Kluyveromyces lactis: one gene and its partners. The protein of the gene in region 1 interacts with the protein of each later gene in a biochemical or structural test. Links are inferred from orthologs where the notes say so. Each region holds a gene or a part of one and is shown in the gene's direction. Other genes may lie near its edges.

Region 1 (4,832 bases):
GTCATCGCTATCTTGGAACAATGAGATATATTGAGTTATATCTTTCGATGACTCACTGACAATGGTAGCCTCATCATAAGGTTCCACGGTAGAAGTCCTCCAAACAGTAACGTTGTTGATAAAAATGTGACCTAAACGATCGTGCTGTATCCCAGTAATATTTGTCGAGAGTTCCAAGATGATCTTATTATAAGGGGAACCAGTGTATGGCTTAAACGACGCCTGAGCTGGATGACCCCAAGAATCGCCAAACGAGTAGGATAAGAGGTGTTCAGTATGGACTGGATCATGAAGCGGTAATTGTTTAATCGTTATTTCAAATGACGTTTCAACGTCTGGATGAACGTCCAGCTGGTGATGATTACAAGAGAAGTTACCAAAGAATAACCCTTTATGATAACCGAATAAAAGAAGGGAAAGAGCCAAAAAGAAATGGAAAAACTTGACAAATCTAGTCTTCTTCCTCTTACCGTCGTTCCCACTCTCATTCTTTTCTACATCGTACTTCCAGTACCCTGTGTCCTTTTCAGCATCAATCGATTCTATGTAAGCAGGAGGTTCCCCTGCATCAGTAGACTTTGGTTTTTTATCCTCGCAAACCATTTGGTTCCATATATTCATCTCATTCCCCTTAGTACCCATATCTACCAACACTTCAATTGCTTGTCCTGGGTGCTACAAGGTGCGTCTCTTCCCTGTCTCCCCTCTGCAATATACATGGATAATTTACTTTCATGGCTATATAAGTTCTATAATAATAATAATATTAAATGGAAAATGTCAATATTGGATATGCACACAATATTTCACAGATGATGAAGAAAGGAAGGATCGGACAGAAAAGACAAGAGGGGACAATCACAGCCCGAAGGCAATAGCAAAGATTGAAGATGGTGCTAGGGTTCTTTACGCAACTTCGGAACATATTCACGCAATACTACTCATCATGGCAGCAGATTGTACTTTCTCGAAGAGCTTTCTTCCAATTGCTAGGGTACTTGGGAACATGCGCTATTTTCACAATGCTCGCACAAGCGCAATGAGGGGTCGAATGTCACACGACGACAAATTGGCTTTAAGACGGTGCACAAAATGCTGTGGTTCGTAGAACATTGTCCATTGAGCTACACCGTCCTCCCTCCACATACAAATCCCAAAGAGAATAGTGAAGAGAGCTTGGAAAAAACTAACGAACGTCCACGTGATAGTCACGTGGACACCATCATCCCCCCGGGTAACATTCCCGAAAAAAAGATTTGCATATTTGCACCGCATACATGCACCACACAAGGTTAGTACCGGGCAATGGCCTGATTCCCACCACTACCCCTCTCTCTGCATCAACAACTACGAAATAAATGCTCAAACCATATTCACGATCTTGCTTTTCGGTCTACTTCACGTCATAGCAGGCTACACCGACCAACAGACACAACAAAAACCAGAAAGTCTAATAATCTTGTTAAACTTGCAGGGGAATTGTAGATTTCACATACATACTCAAGTGATAAATGAAGAGAGGGTATTTAAGTAATGTACAATATAATTTATGCAATGTATTTACAAAGCCTCGTGTAGCAATAGCAACTGCGGGAAGAACCCTTGCTTAGCTGTGACACGGATCCTGGATAGTACTACAATTCCTTCGTTTTACTTCTACTGCTAGGCGCATCTTACTGGGAACTAATTTTTTCTGTATTTTTTCTTATCTCCTTTCTTGACAAATTTGATTTTTGATCGATATAATTATAACGATTATAATTCAAACTCAAAATCAAATTGAAATTAACCTTTCAGTTTGATTTAGTATTTTGTCTGGAAAACACTCTTTGACAGGAAGAGAAAAGGAGTGAGTGAAGGGTACTTTAGTAAGGTGAGTAGGGCGATTAAGTGTGTCCAATTATGAGTAATAGTTTGAGACGGTCCAGTGCGTCATCTTCTTCGTCGCAGGGGAAACCAGGACGAAATGGCAGTGGGAATGGATCGTATTCTCAAATCAATTCCAGTTTGCATGCCAGAGTGAAAGCTTTCCAAGAACAGAGACAGTTGAAACGGTCCGGTAGTATTCATTCTAACCAGTCACAGAATTCGGTTCAGATAGAGCAGATTGTGAATAAACCGTTGCCGCCTCTGCCACCGAAGACAATGGTTGAAGAGGCTGAGAATAGCCAGCAATTAGAACAACAACAACAACAACAACATAATATACAAATACAGCAAACACAACAGCAACAACAACGACAACCGATCCTAAAACAACAGGACCAGCATCTACAGCATCTACAGCATACGGAATTGTTAGCACAATCAGTTACGGAAAATGACCAGCATGATCAGCAGCAACAGCAGCAGGGGGGCCTGCTGCTGTCTCCTAAGACAGAACTTCCCGATATAGAGGAAAAGAAGGGACAGTTTGAGAAGCAGACACAAGAGGCTCTGGCGAATTTGAGTATACAGTCTGACGGTATGTCATCTGCTTCGGAATCTTCTGGTAGTGCCAGTAATAAGCAACAACAGGATCATGAACTCAATCCGATTAGAAAGGCTCCAAAACGTCCGCAAGGTGTTCCCAGTTGTACTGGCAGCGGCAATGCTGGTGCGCCAAGTCCAATTGGTGGCGTGGGAGGTTCTCAGGCAGCAGCAGGTACTTTCAGACCGCCTGCTGCTGCTGGGGGCGTTGTAATGCCAAATCAACCAAGGCTTTCACAAGGTCAGCCACATCTACAAAAGGCTAAACAGTCTTTGTCTGCAAGAAGAGGCTTGAAGCTTCCTACGGGCGGCATGTCCTTGAAGATGAAACCAACACATCAACAACAGCAGCTTGCTCCTCAACATACACATCAAGAATTTGCGGGCGCTCCCTCCAATTCTGCTTTGCCCTTGCAAGGAAAACGTTCGAATCCCGGATCTTTGATTAATGGTATTCAATCCACTTCTACTTCTTTGGCTAATAGTTCACATGATACACTTGGCACTGATCCTAAATCTAATCCTACTTCTAATTCTAACTCTGGTATCGGTGGATTGTTTGCTAATTTTTCCAAGTATGTCAATATTAAATCAGGATCTCTAAATTTCGCAGGTAAGCTGTCTTTATCCTCTAAAGGTGTAGACTTTAGCAACGGTTCCAGTTTCCGGATAAAGTTAGATGAACTAGAGTTTCTGGAAGAATTGGGTCATGGTAACTATGGTAACGTATCCAAAGTTTTACACAAGCCGACTCATATCATAATGGCCATGAAGGAAGTCAGATTGGAATTGGACGAATCAAAGTTTAGACAGATCTTAATGGAACTTGAAGTTTTGCATAATTGCCAGTCACCGTACATTGTGGATTTCTACGGTGCATTTTTCATTGAAGGTGCCGTTTATATGTGTATGGAATATATGGATGGTGGATCTCTAGATAAAACTTATGATGATGAACAAATAGGGGGGATTGACGAACCACAACTAGCAAGGATAACAAGCTCAGTAATACAAGGATTGAAGGAATTGAAAGACGTGCATAATATCATCCATCGTGATGTTAAACCAACTAATATCTTGTGTTCTGCAAGCCAGGGTACAATTAAACTATGCGATTTTGGTGTGTCAGGTAACCTCGTTGCCTCTTTAGCCAAGACAAATATCGGTTGTCAATCTTACATGGCCCCAGAAAGAATCAAATCACTGAATCCGGACAAATCAACGTATTCTGTCCAATCAGATATCTGGTCTTTGGGTCTATCGATATTGGAAATGGCATTGGGAGCTTATCCGTATCCGCCAGAAACGTTTGACAACATATTCTCACAGTTGAGTGCCATCGTCGACGGCCCACCTCCTAAACTTCCAGAGGGAAAGTTCTCAGCCGATGCTCAAAACTTTGTTTCCATGTGTTTGCAAAAAATCCCTGAACGTAGACCCACTTATGCCGCTCTATTAGAACATCCATGGTTGAAAAAATACGAAAACGTTGACGTAAGAATGAGTGAATACATAACGAATAGATTGAACAAAAAAAGGGAATTGCTAGAACAAACAGGCGAAGGTCCACCTAAGCACGTTCCTGCTTTGCATATGGGCGGATTGTAAGTTAAGCTTTGCCTCGCCTTCTTATCTTCCGGTTATTCCGTAATATAGAAGAAAACAAAGCGAACCACAGTTTAAAACCCACTAATCCAAAAATCAGCCTTGCTCCATTTATTTTCCAGCGCTTGTCATAATATTTCAGAACTACAAACCTGTTTACATGCCATTTATTTAGCGCAAAATTCATTACGTTTATTCCAATGCATCAATTACTACCGACAATACATTTATTGGACTGATATTATATACTGTGTAATTTGTATGAACCGCTATCATCTTTATGGTAGCATTTAATATTTTGAGAAAAATAGGTCCTACCATATTCTATCAATGATTATGATTCCATTAGGATCACTCAAATGTTGGTGAAAAATTCGTAGCGTCTTTAATGTCAAGCGCACCAACGCTTTTATCGACTTGTGTCAGGTTTTCCTGTTTGGCCGCATTTCGCTGAGAATGTTCCTTCGAGGATTTAAAGCCTCTCATGAAAAGTTATGAAATTGATGGAAAAAAAAAAAAATTGAACATATGCCAACCTAAAATGATTTATTTAGTACCGAGGTTTCTAAAGTATAAAAGCATTGAATTCAGACAAATAAACTTTTGGTAAGCTACTCAAGTTACCGTCAATAATAACAATTCTCAGTGTTAACTACTGGTAACCTGTATTAGTAATTACCAGGTAAGCGGAGAGATGATCTTCCGCAAAGTGGTACGAAATCCTACTGTTCAAAACATACAAATATACAGAAAGACTT
Region 2 (3,652 bases), about 730 kb from region 1:
TTCGATGCTGCAATTGCTGTTAAATGTTTTGGGGTCGGAGTTTCATATTTGGTGGTCGTTGGAGATTTGTTACCACAGATAATGTCCACGTTTACAACCCATGGGTGGCTCTTATCACGCCAGTTTCACATCACTGCAGTTACGTTGATCATCGTGACACCGTTGTGTTTCATTAAGAAGTTAGACTCTTTAAGGTACACTTCTTCCATTGCAATTACAGCAGTTGGGTACTTATGCGTATTAGTTGTCTTCCATTTTGCCGTTCCAAATAGCGAAATCGACCATTTAAGAGGCCATGTTAGCATCTGGAAACCCAGTGATGTGGATTCATCCATGCTAAGCAGTTTTCCAATTTTCGTTTTCGCGTATACTTGCCATCACAACATGTTTTCCATCATCAATGAACAATCAGACAAATCTTTAGACAGTATAACGAAATTGATTAGGATTGCCATTACGCTAGCAATGTCTTTGTACATTTCCATTGGAGCGCTAGGTTATTGCACCTTCGGTGATCATATTACTGGTAACATTATCACCTTATACCCAAACTCCATTTCCAGCACCATCGGTAGAATAGCTATAGCATTGTTAGTGATCCTTGCCTTCCCGCTACAATGTCATCCAGCTAGAGCATCTGTCAATCATATCTTACATTACTTCTCCAAGGGGAACACCCATCCCCCAATGACAACCACAAGTGCAGAACAAAACAGTCTATTACGGGACTCTGAACTCGAATCTAGCGAACAGTTAACCTACGAATGCGAAGACGAATTAATTGAAGAAAACAGCGCTAATCAGCCTCCAGTAGTAACGTTAGAAGGCCCTAGATTCATCTTTATCACGTCTGGAATCCTATTATTTTCGTACATCCTCGCTATGAGTGTTACGTCGCTAGCAAACGTTTTGTCAATAGTAGGAGCAACCGGATCCACTTCTATATCCTTCATCTTACCTGGAATATTTGGCTACAAGTTAATCGCATCGGAGTACGCCAAATCCGTTGTACCACCAGCAAAAGAACGAATCTTGAGAATTATCTCATTGTTACTTGCTATTTGGGGATTCATCGTCATGATAACTTCACTAAGTGCTACCATATTTCTACATGCGACACATTGAGGGTACAGGATAAACAGGGTACTAGAGACTAACCATTGATACTGCTACCAATTGTACTCCCGATTGACACTCTAAATAAGCGGCCCGCGTATTCCTAGCGAGCCTTTGGTTGCTGCCTGTCACATGATCAAAAAATAACTCATCTCTCATTGTAGACAGACACCAAAAAAAATGATAAATGTATACCGTATATACATAAATATAAAAAGTAATCAATACGAACATACTTGAACTTGAAGCAAGTTTATTTCAATTTTAGTTGTTGTGTTGTCACAAGTGTTCCAATAGTCCAGCGAGGCAAGGGAATATCTGCAAACAGAGAGATGGCGTTGATTAAAGCAAGTCAAGCCCGTGCTGTAAGGGAGAATCCGCATGTATCTCATCAATTTAACATCTCGTCATTTTTGGGCGATCCTTTTGCCATAGGCACACTTAGTATTGCATTGATCTCATGGATCATTGCATTGGCGGGATCCATTGCTGTTGCAGCATCTACGTCTCCATTCCCAAGATTTTCTTGGTGGACTATAGTTTACGAGATACTACTAATGATTACGCTTTTTATCGTGTACTGTTTGGATTTAGTTGACTACTATAGAATGTTCATTACTTGTGCTGTTGGTATCGCATTCGTATATACTTCGAATAGTACTAACAGTATTGTGTACTATGAAGGGTCCAAGAGTGGTGCAGCAGCAGCAGGATTTATCTTGTTATCCATGATCAATTTGGTGTGGGTGATTTATTTTGGTGGAGATAATGCATCTCCAACCAATAGATGGATCGATTCGTTCTCACTACGCGGAATTCGTCCTTCGGTGCTAGAGACATCCATGGCTATTGCCAGATCGCAGAGACTGCCGGTCAAACCTTCTTACCCATACCAATACCAGGAAGACTTGCGTTCAGCATCTCTGCCTGATGTCCACCACGATGACGAAGGTGAGGGCCACAGTGGCAACATGTATGCGCCAGAACTTCAATCGTCTACAAAGTATGTGTCGTCTACAGTGCTGAACGGATTTGAAAATACAGATCATTCCTCTTCGAAACCAAACCTTGATGTTAATGCGCAAAATACTGCTACACTGAATACACAGGCCACTGGCACTTTCATCACAGATACCACCAATGCCAACACAGATACTACCATGGGAGACACATTAGGCCTATACAGTGACATTGGTGAAGAATTAAACAGTTTCCCATACACTGCAGAGGCTTTATATACCTATCAAGCGGACCAAACTGACGCGTATGAAATATCCTTCGAACAGGGCGAAATTCTCAGGGTTGGTGATATCGAGGGTAGATGGTGGAAAGCCAAGAAGTCAAACGGGGAAACAGGGATTATCCCAAGTAATTACGTTAAGCTTTTGGATGGGAAATCACACTGATTTTATTACTGCCTCCCATCAGTTTGTATCATTAAACATTTGATTTGTGTATCGTCTTTTATATTATATTATTTCCACAGTTTGCAATAACAACCGGCTTATCAACCTTATTCGCGAAAAATTCAAGTGCTTTTATCAACACAGTTACTGAATTCTTCATTAACACGCAAATACTTGCTTCGAATGAATCATGCTATTTAATGAATATGCTATTATTTATAATTATACTGCTTGCAAATCGCTTCAGGTGCTGGTAGTATAATAAAGTCTTCATCTCGAGTAAGAACTTCAAACACATCAATCTTAATAAAATGGGGACCATCCCATGTAAATTGTCGCTAAATTTTGTTTGTCAGTAGCACTGGACAAAAGCTCCTGAACAATTGCTTCAACGCTCAAACCGTCTCCATATAACTTACTTTCAACTCCCTTTAGTGCTCTTATGGATTCATCATTATTATTATCTTCTTCTAAAAGCTCGCTGAAATCTGCATCGGAAACACTAATTTCCTCCTCATCATAATCACCAGTAAACTTTGCTTGCAATCTTTGCTTCTTCAAGGGAGTCATCTTCCATGAATATAATGGGTCCCATTTCAGAACATTTAGAACACATAATAATCGCTCTTTCTCGTCTTGTAACACCTTAAATACTCTTTCGCAGTTATTTCTAAACAAACCTTCGATACCTGCTACGCCAAATCCGTCTACAATATCCCTTGTTAGTCTAAAGGGAACCAGTTCCGGTATTGGCAATAGCTTTCCCTGATCAAATGCCACTCCAAGATCAATATGAATGGGTTCACCGGTTTTTATATCAATCAAAATATTATTAAGATGCCTGTCTCCCAAGCCTAACAGATATCCGACAATCGATGATGTTACCACGCTCTTAGTATATCTGTTCCTACTTTCATACCAATCATGTGCATGCACGAAAGATTGAAAGAAGAAGCGTCTTAACTGAGGCTTAATTTTCTCCGTAATTCGACTGAATGTAAGTACTCTTTCCTCAACACTGTGATTCTGAGCGGCTTTCATCGTTTTTCTAGCTTTATCGAAACTGATTTCATCGTTACAATGCAAATTCAATAAAATATCATGCAAAGACATGGAATTTGCAACAAACT
Region 3 (3,193 bases), on another chromosome or scaffold:
TTTCTCATGACTTTAAAATCACAGTGACAGATACAGTGGATGCACTTCCAGAAGATTTGGAATCTTCAGAGTTTTTCGATTGGCTACAGAGGGAACAACCAAGCTTCAGGAAATTCTTACAGGAAAGTAATTTCTCTTTCGGAGGCTTGAAGAAGCCCCGCATTGCTCCTTCTTTTGAATTGAACGTGAAATTAGAAGGAATGGAAGAACCGCAAAAGATCAGATACAATTATTTGCATCGCTACGAACACCGTTTATTAAGATTCAAGTACAAAGAAGATTGTTTGGTACAACTCTCTGAAATTGAAGGCGGAAGCTTAGGAGGCAAAGCTTCATCTATTGATTTTATCAGCACTAACGGATCCATCAACAAGGACATCGTTAGAAATTTCATCGATGACGTTTTACAATTCTGAAATCATTCGAAATATTTTGGTCCTTAATGCATATATGTATAATTATACAAAGTCATCCTGTAAATAGTGCGGAAGAACAGATATATAGACTTCATTTAAGTTTTTGACGTACACCTGTCGATTGATTCTCCATAATAGAAAAATATTTAACATAAACTATTTTACATGCTTTCGTATAAATTCCTTATGATATTCGCTTTGAGTAATATTATTGACATATTTTCCCTTCCCATTTGAATTATGTTCAGATATACTTGCCGATTGATTGACTGTACCTTTACGTCCAAATACAGTGTTAGATCTCCAACCACCATGCTTTTGCGGTTTCGTCACTTCTTCATTTTGAGCTGCTGTGATTTCAGCACGCTGTTCTCTCAGTTTTTTGTCCAATCTTTCTTGCTTAACTTTATTCCACTCCTCTAATAGCGCTTCTTCATCTTCACTCTCCTCCTCCTCTTCCTCGTACTCATCGCTACTATCCGTGGCCTGTATCTCTTCATCTTTCGAGCATTCCTCTGCTCCAGTTATTTTGATTCTTTTCTTAGCCTCCTCACTCGGAGTACTTTCTACTTTACGATTCAACACCCTCTTCTTCGTGTTTCTATACTTAACCTCTTTGTGCCCCGGTAAAAGTCTAGCGTGCTGCGTCGAAGTAGGAATGTATTCTATATTCTTTGCCCCATTCCTGGCCTCTAGTTGAGGTCTGTGCGATGTAGTCATTTCAGAACACAGTCAATATTATATTCAATCTGTAGCACTCCACTGAAACTAACGTAAGCTTATCTACCATCCCAGGTACCAGTTAAATTAGCTCACCTGTTTTGCCTGTGAACAATCTCGTGAATGTGCGTTGATGTTCAATCTTTATAGCCTTGATATGAAAAAATAGCAATCTGAAACTTCAAATGCGAATCTACGTTAACAATTACCGTGTACCAAAGAAATAAGAACTACGAACGTCGTACTGGCAACTACATATAGCAAGCTACATTTCATACCAAACTTTTCTAAGAGGACATAGGACTTTATCATTTAATCATTTCCCGTGGAGCATTCGTTCACACTAGAAATATAGAACTGAACACATATTGAATGAGGCTTTGAACTTAGATCAAAGACGGTGAGATTTACTAATAACATCAGAAGACATAACTATCATAATGTCAGAATATGAGGTTGACCAAGAGGACGATATGGTTGGGTACATATCGATAAAAGATTACGCATATGACGAATCAAATCCGTTACATTTTGGTTATTTTGAAGAAGATGATGAAGATCAGAACAACCTTCGATTGAGTGGGAACAGAGAAAGTGTGTTACTACCAGATGATTATATCGTTAATAAGAGAGCCATAGCGATGTATGCTTTTGTCCCAGAAAATGATAACGAGTTGGAGTTGAAAGAAGGAGATGTCGTATATATAAGTTACAAGCATGGCCAAGGGTGGTTAGTGGCAGAAAATCACGATAGATCCAAGACAGGATTGGTACCGGAAGAGTATGTGCAGTTGATTGAAGACGATGGCGAAGACAACGGTAGGTATGAGAATCCTAGGCCGTTTTATCTTACTCAAATGATAACGCAGAGCATGTCTAATTATCACGATGATGATTGGGAAGACATAGAAGATGACGAGGAAGCTGAAGGACATAGTGATAAAGAGCACAGAAGTATACAGCGACCCAGTCAAGATTCAGTATCAGTTGATATAACGAACAACAATGGTGTTTCTCATGATAATAGAACTGTTCTTGAAAACGGAAAAACAGGCAGTACGTTAAATGAAAAGAGCGACGTATCAGAACTCGCGAAAGATATCAAGGAGAAATTGGATCTATAGCATTCTGTTTTCTGCGCTAAATATCTATATATTAGCTGCAATATTAATTAAATACTTTTCTAGTAATACGTTACAATAAAAGTCCCGTTAAGATGAAATGAAAGAATTGATCAAAAGCAGTTTAACATGAAGCCCGTGCCTGCATTCTTAGATCATTCAAGCTCGTTGATTTCGATTTCATCAATTTCTGTAACTTCCTCTCCACGTTTGAGTTTCATTAGTTCTGTTATATCAAGAGCACCACCAATTTCATTCAACAAGCCATGGACTCCTTGGATTATTTCCTTGGCCATTTCATCGTCGGACTCCGCATTTTCACTGAACTTAGAAGCAAAGCTCAAAGAAACACGCGCCTCGTAAATAATGTCCTTCAATGACTCATTCTTGATATCCAAAGGTAATTCTTGGACGTGGGAATTGAATTCGTAGATATTTTCAGGAGATAGTTGTAATGATTGGTTTTGTTGTTTAAACTGTTCTAATTTAGCCATCAAATAATATGTGAACCCTTCCAAGTAATAGCTCTCCAAATTGTCTTCGTCAATATCTTTGATCGCTGCTACTATTTGTAAACTTATCTCGTATAATCCCATTTCAATACACATTTTTGCTAACGAGATTGCTGGTTGTAGTAATTCAAGATATTCTGCATGGCTGGAAACGCTTTCCTCCGTTAATTGTTCTTCAATGGACTCTTTTTTCATTTGGAAGAATTCCCAGGCTTTTGTGAATGCTTCCGAAGCTTCACCGAATTTTTGTTGAGAAATCTTAATGGAACCTAGCACTGACCAAACCTCCGATGACTTACCTTCTGAAATTTCCATTGCCTTTGAAATTAACTCTTCGCATTCTGATTCTGCCTCCTTTTCCATACAAAGATCAGTCATCCATATTTCTATCATCGCAAGTAGCCCATTGACCATCATGTTTGCT
Region 4 (5,040 bases), on another chromosome or scaffold:
TATACCATTAGCGAAAGGGAAAAAAGAGTTAGAGATAAGCATACAGTTACATTTGCTTCATAAAAAATAGTCAACTTGTCTTTTCAGAGCATATTTTGCTTGGTGCTCATCGGAGAATACGTCATATTGCCCCATGTGTGCATCGTCATCTTCTTCGAAGAAGGAATGTAAAGTTTTATCATTAAGCATTGGATCTGTAAGTAGTTTATTTTCTGGAGCTTCATCGAACACGTTAAAGTGAAAGTCTGTTGGTGAGTATAATTCTAAAATAGATGCTTTATTCCCACAACGATAACAGTAATTGGGAGCGGACCAAACAGTGGTGACTTTCCCTCCAAAATAATCCTGATATCCCTCGTTACATAGTTGATGAGCTCTGAGCATCTTTGTGACACCATTGATGCTAAAAAATTTGTCCACTATAGCTTTACCGAAAGTGTAACCAGCACCTCTCGGTGAGACTTTGAATTGTGAAGAAGTGATATCGTTTCTGTCGTCTTCAGGGTCTGACCAGACCAAATCTGCCATGGCGCCATCATGTGGGATTTCTCTGATCCTATCGATAATCCGTATTTGATCAATGGATTGAATATTGGGTGAAAGTCCACCATGAACGCAGAAAATTGTATCATCAATGATACATGCAAGAATCAAATAATCGAATAGATCCGTGAAATACTGCCATACTTGACTTCCCTCGCCAAATTTGTTCAAACATTCCGTATAAAAACCATAACTCTGGGTGATCTGACGTGATTCATGATTACCACGAATTAGATGAATACGGCTTGGATATCTAAGCTTTAACGTTATCAGCAAAGTAATTGTCTCCACACTGTACAACCCTCTGTCGACATAATCACCCAAAAACACGTAATTTGTGGACGGCAGAGGTCCACCAATATGGAATATCTCTAAAAGATCATGGAATTGACCGTGAATGTCACCAACAACAGTCACAGGCGTACTGATATGAACAACATTAGATTCTCTCACTAGCAATTCCTTTAATTTGAAACACAACGCCCTGATCGTCTCAGCAGGAAGTAGTTTCCCCTCATATAGCTGTTCCAAACACCAATCGAGTTCCATAAATATGATATGTAATATCCTCAGTACGGATTGAAATTTTTTGACAGCTCACTAATGGGATATTTTATCCTCCCTTAATGCATGGATCCCAACGCTAGCTAGAATACCTTAAGATGCCCAACAGATAAACCTTACCACCTAGCGATGAGTCGTTCACCCCATATTCTTTGTTTAGCAAACTTTACGGCTGGAAAGATTTCAACTTTTCTTTGTAAAAATCAATAACATTAAAAAAAAAAAAATTATCATGTCAAGAACCAAATTAAAGGTTCATAGGTACCGAGCAAAGTAGCTAAAGTGTGCCAGCCATTCGGATTAGAACAGCGACGAGATCGTTATAAAGATAGGTTATAATTGCTAAGAAACACAACTGGTGTGCGGCAAACTCGAAATAAAGGGGATTTGCTTTGTAATTTTCGGGGCTACTTGTCAATTCATTGTCTATAAGGGCATTCTTCCCGGTCTTTCAGAGATTACACAATCTTAAGGAAGAAAGAGAATTGGTGGATTTTTTAAAGGGCCACTTTTACGTTTGTACTGTACAACAAAGTAACGCTCTGTTTTTTGCTTTATCTGTTTTCCTTCACGTTTGGTTTAGATTGAGCCTCTCTCAGTTCGTCGTTTAAAGCCATGTCGCAAAACAACGATAGCAGAGACGAGGCATATGTCAGGGAGCAATTCCAAAGATATACGACTAAGATGGCTTCTAATAAGAATTCCAATACTGATTCGAAATGTAGAAGTACTTCACATCTGAATTCGCTGGCTTCGATTTCAAGTGACACTTCAAATGAAACTTTAAAGGGAAATTTATCAGCAGCTTCGCCTACGTTTTCATCAGATTCTACTCTGAGTACTAAAAAACTGCCAGTTCTACAGACGCTTCCGACATCTCTGCCAAATGGACAGCATCAACAGGGGCAGCTCTTTCCTGCTTCTTCTTCAAGCTCCTCAGCAATATCTTCAAGGAAACCAAGTGTGTCTGGTTCCTTTGGAACGCAGACTCCGACTACAGCTCAGTTGAAAACTATAACATCGCCCAAACTCAGCGGTGCACTTTCAACAAGGTCAAGGTCTAATTCGCTCACAAGCTCCAAACTATTTGCGCTGAACCAATCCAATGATTCTCCGTCATCGACCTCGGTTTATCCCGTACCGCCTAATGTCGCTTCGTTGAACTCTCAAACAGCTAGTTCAATGTCAGTTTCCACATCAGCGGACCAATATTTTCCAGCACAACAGAATGGTTCCACTACAACAGTAAATTTAACTCCAACGTTGTCTTCTCCATCGATTAGATCACTGAATAATAGCACCACCAGTACCACGAAATCGTTCAAACCTTTGCAAAAGCAATACGTACTCAATGAACAGCTTTATCTAAGCTCGATGAAAAATAAAAAAGCAGATGATTATTACACGCGAGGAATAACGTCTTCTGGAAATGAAGATGATGATGATTTTAGAGTGGATGGAGAAAACGATGATGTTGATAATGACCTAAGCAAATTGAATAATGGACTGGGCTCTGCAATTTTCGGAAATAATATCGCAACGACAACAGATAAAGGCTTTCATTCCATCGATGATGATGAACTTGTATTAATGAATGATAAAATCTTACTTGAAAGGATGGAATGGTTACGCTCAGTGGAACCGAATAACCCTCTAATAGAAAATTCATTGAACCTGTTGAATAAAACTGGTGGCTCTACGGACAGTCTTGAGAGCTTTTCAAATATTGAAACGCAGCTTGCTTTGGAACAACTCTCGAATAATCATTTAGTCAGAGAAAGGCTAGAGTGGCAGACTATGCTCTCGAGCGTTTTGAATGGTGATATTGTTAAGAGTGAGAAGACAAAACTTGCGAAACGCAAGCCTGATGAAATTTTACTGAATCATAATGATCTAATATGGTTAGAACTTAAGGCTTGGTTAAATGGTAGAACCGTCGAAGATCAACGTAAATCATTGGAATATTCTAAAACTACTGCTGATGAGGTATTCGAAGAAATCTTGAACTATAAAAATGAAAAAGAAGAAAACCCTGAAGTTGTCATAGAAGAAGCCAAAATACTATTGAATAAATATTACAAAGTGGTTGGATATTGGAAAAATCTCCCCAATATGAATCTCGAGAAACCTGTAACCAAAACCTCTAATTTTGTAAGCAGAATTGAAGCACTCAATTCGTTGATAAACTCGTACGAAGGATTACAATATGAGATAGAGGCATTGAAACAATGGACTCAAAATGATGATTTGGATGTAACTTTTACGAAAGATTCGTTAGACACTGAAGGTATCTTCAAAAATGACAGATCTTTCGCAGAACAAATTATGAAAGAGAAGGACATCGAAGGTATCTTTCAGAAAAAGATCTTTTTCAAGCATGCCCCTTGGATGTTCAAGAGCAAATTGGTGTTTTTGAAGCAACAAAATTCTATTCACGAAATGCGCTTACCTTTACCGGTGGACAAATTGCATTCTCTTTTAACGTTTCCACTTCGTTTGATCCAAGAAATAATATCAATCAGATTAGAATACGCTAGAAAACTCAAAAAGCCTACCATGATGATGATTGACCAAATGATTGATGACTTCAGTACATATATCAAGCTTTCTGTTCAAATCAAGCATACCCTTATGGAATACAGATCTGGATGGAGCCTTAAGGTTGAGATAAGTGATGCTTTCGATGCTAAAGTTGTTGAAGCTATAGAGTTCTTGTTCAAACTTCTTCACTTAAAATTGATTGACAGCTCAAAGAATTCCTTTAAAACATTTAAAGAACCAGACATTTTATTTGCCCATTGGGAAAACTTGAAAAACTTCGGTTGTTATATATCTGGAGCAAGTAAAGTAATCGCACAGGGTTTTGTCAACATTACTATAAGATTGTTGAACCGACTACATCTTTACATTATGGAAGAGCAACGAAACTCAGTAGACTTAGTAACTTCTGATGATGCCAGAAAATGGGTAGTTGAAGTTATAGAAAATGTCGGTGCTTTCAAGAGAAAGACCAATAGATTTTCGAACGTCTTAACGAAGGCGTTCCAAAACTCTGTTCTTTATAACATCAAGGATCACAGCATGCTGCTGGAGAGACTTAGGAATAGTGGACACTTCTTGATCTACACTGGAGGGATCCTAGAACAAAATGGGATTTATTTAATTGCAAGTGAGGAGCTTCTAGGATGCTCTGATGATGAAATAATGGACATTATCAAATCTACTAAAATAGGGTCCGATTTGATTCCAAAAGTTGAAATTAATAATAGTTTAACTATTTACAACCCTCCAGAGGATCTTACATTACCCGAAGCGATGTTCGTACAGAAAGAAAGACGAAACGGGGTGTCCTATTATCATTTAAAACAAGATGACCTCACACAGAGAGTTGGCATTAGAGGTAAAGGAGGAAGCTCGACAGCCCCTGAGGAAGAAGGAGAAGAACTCGTTCAACTCGAAAACAAATTGAAAATGCTTGGTTATGTTTTGGTATTCTGTCCAACAAAACCAATGGTATGGAATGGAGAAATGTACAATCTTACCAGCGAAGAACCTTTGACTATGGAAGAATTTGGCCTCAGTGTAGAAGAAGACGTTATTGTTATGTTGAATCAGGGATCAACTTACGCGTTAGATTATCAAGTGGATAGGTTTCAACATTTTGCCGGTGATGCGATATCCATACGGGAAAAAAAATGTGCTATCAACAGCATTGAGACGGCTCTTCAACGTATCAATAAATCCTACTTCAGGATGACGTATATTGTATTGAAAAACTTCGGCAGCGTACAGAAGAATGTCACTTTACAGACTAACGAGAGTGTCTTTTTCAACATAGCATACTTGTTCGTGAAAGATTTTGCAAAAAACTTCCTTCTATTAAATGTCGCTACACCGGAAACTAAGGCAATTATTATTCGCCTTATGATTCAG

What was found.
Region 2: the proteins of PBS2 (region 1) and SHO1 form a complex in vitro, tested with the Saccharomyces cerevisiae proteins (3 studies listed by BioGRID). The link is inferred for Kluyveromyces lactis from reciprocal best matches to the Saccharomyces cerevisiae genes PBS2 and SHO1.
Region 3: the proteins of PBS2 (region 1) and NBP2 form a complex in vitro, tested with the Saccharomyces cerevisiae proteins (3 studies listed by BioGRID, with this or other methods). The link is inferred for Kluyveromyces lactis from reciprocal best matches to the Saccharomyces cerevisiae genes PBS2 and NBP2.
Region 4: of the proteins of PBS2 (region 1) and SSK2, one has a biochemical effect on the other in vitro, tested with the Saccharomyces cerevisiae proteins (4 studies listed by BioGRID, with this or other methods). The link is inferred for Kluyveromyces lactis from reciprocal best matches to the Saccharomyces cerevisiae genes PBS2 and SSK2.

The regions. Positions count from the first base shown.
Region 1 is NC_006041.1:1,360,949-1,365,780, forward strand, and holds PBS2 (mitogen-activated protein kinase kinase PBS2), read left to right. Parts: upstream 1-1,902; coding exon 1,903-4,077; downstream 4,078-4,832. Other genes in the region: KLLA0_E15291g (uncharacterized protein), read right to left, coding at 1-642; TRK1 (Trk1p), read left to right, coding at 4,769-4,832. UniProt on the Saccharomyces cerevisiae protein: Kinase involved in a signal transduction pathway that is activated by changes in the osmolarity of the extracellular environment. Activates the MAP kinase HOG1 by concomitant phosphorylation at 'Thr-174' and 'Tyr-176'.
Region 2 is NC_006041.1:628,329-631,980, forward strand, and holds SHO1 (osmosensor SHO1), read left to right. Parts: upstream 1-1,448; coding exon 1,449-2,522; downstream 2,523-3,652. Other genes in the region: AVT5 (amino acid transporter), read left to right, coding at 1-1,125; DNA-binding protein kinase TEL1, read right to left, coding at 2,826-3,652. UniProt on the Saccharomyces cerevisiae protein: Plasma membrane osmosensor that activates the high osmolarity glycerol (HOG) MAPK signaling pathway in response to high osmolarity.
Region 3 is NC_006040.1:1,430,020-1,433,212, reverse strand, and holds NBP2 (adaptor protein NBP2), read left to right. Parts: upstream 1-1,576; coding exon 1,577-2,260; downstream 2,261-3,193. Other genes in the region: SLS1 (Sls1p), read left to right, coding at 1-416; U2-type spliceosomal complex subunit CWC15, read right to left, coding at 573-1,136; ACL4 (Acl4p), read right to left, coding at 2,413-3,193. UniProt on the Saccharomyces cerevisiae protein: Negatively regulates the high-osmolarity glycerol (HOG) pathway through its negative regulation of the HOG1 kinase activity. Mediates the binding between the PTC1 phosphatase and the PBS2 MAP/ERK kinase (MEK).
Region 4 is NC_006039.1:742,832-747,871, forward strand, and holds the start of SSK2 (mitogen-activated protein kinase kinase kinase SSK2), read left to right. Parts: upstream 1-1,722; coding exon 1,723-5,040. Other genes in the region: putative serine/threonine-protein kinase PPG1, read right to left, coding at 58-1,092. UniProt on the Saccharomyces cerevisiae protein: Kinase involved in a signal transduction pathway that is activated by changes in the osmolarity of the extracellular environment. Activates the PBS2 MAP kinase kinase by phosphorylation.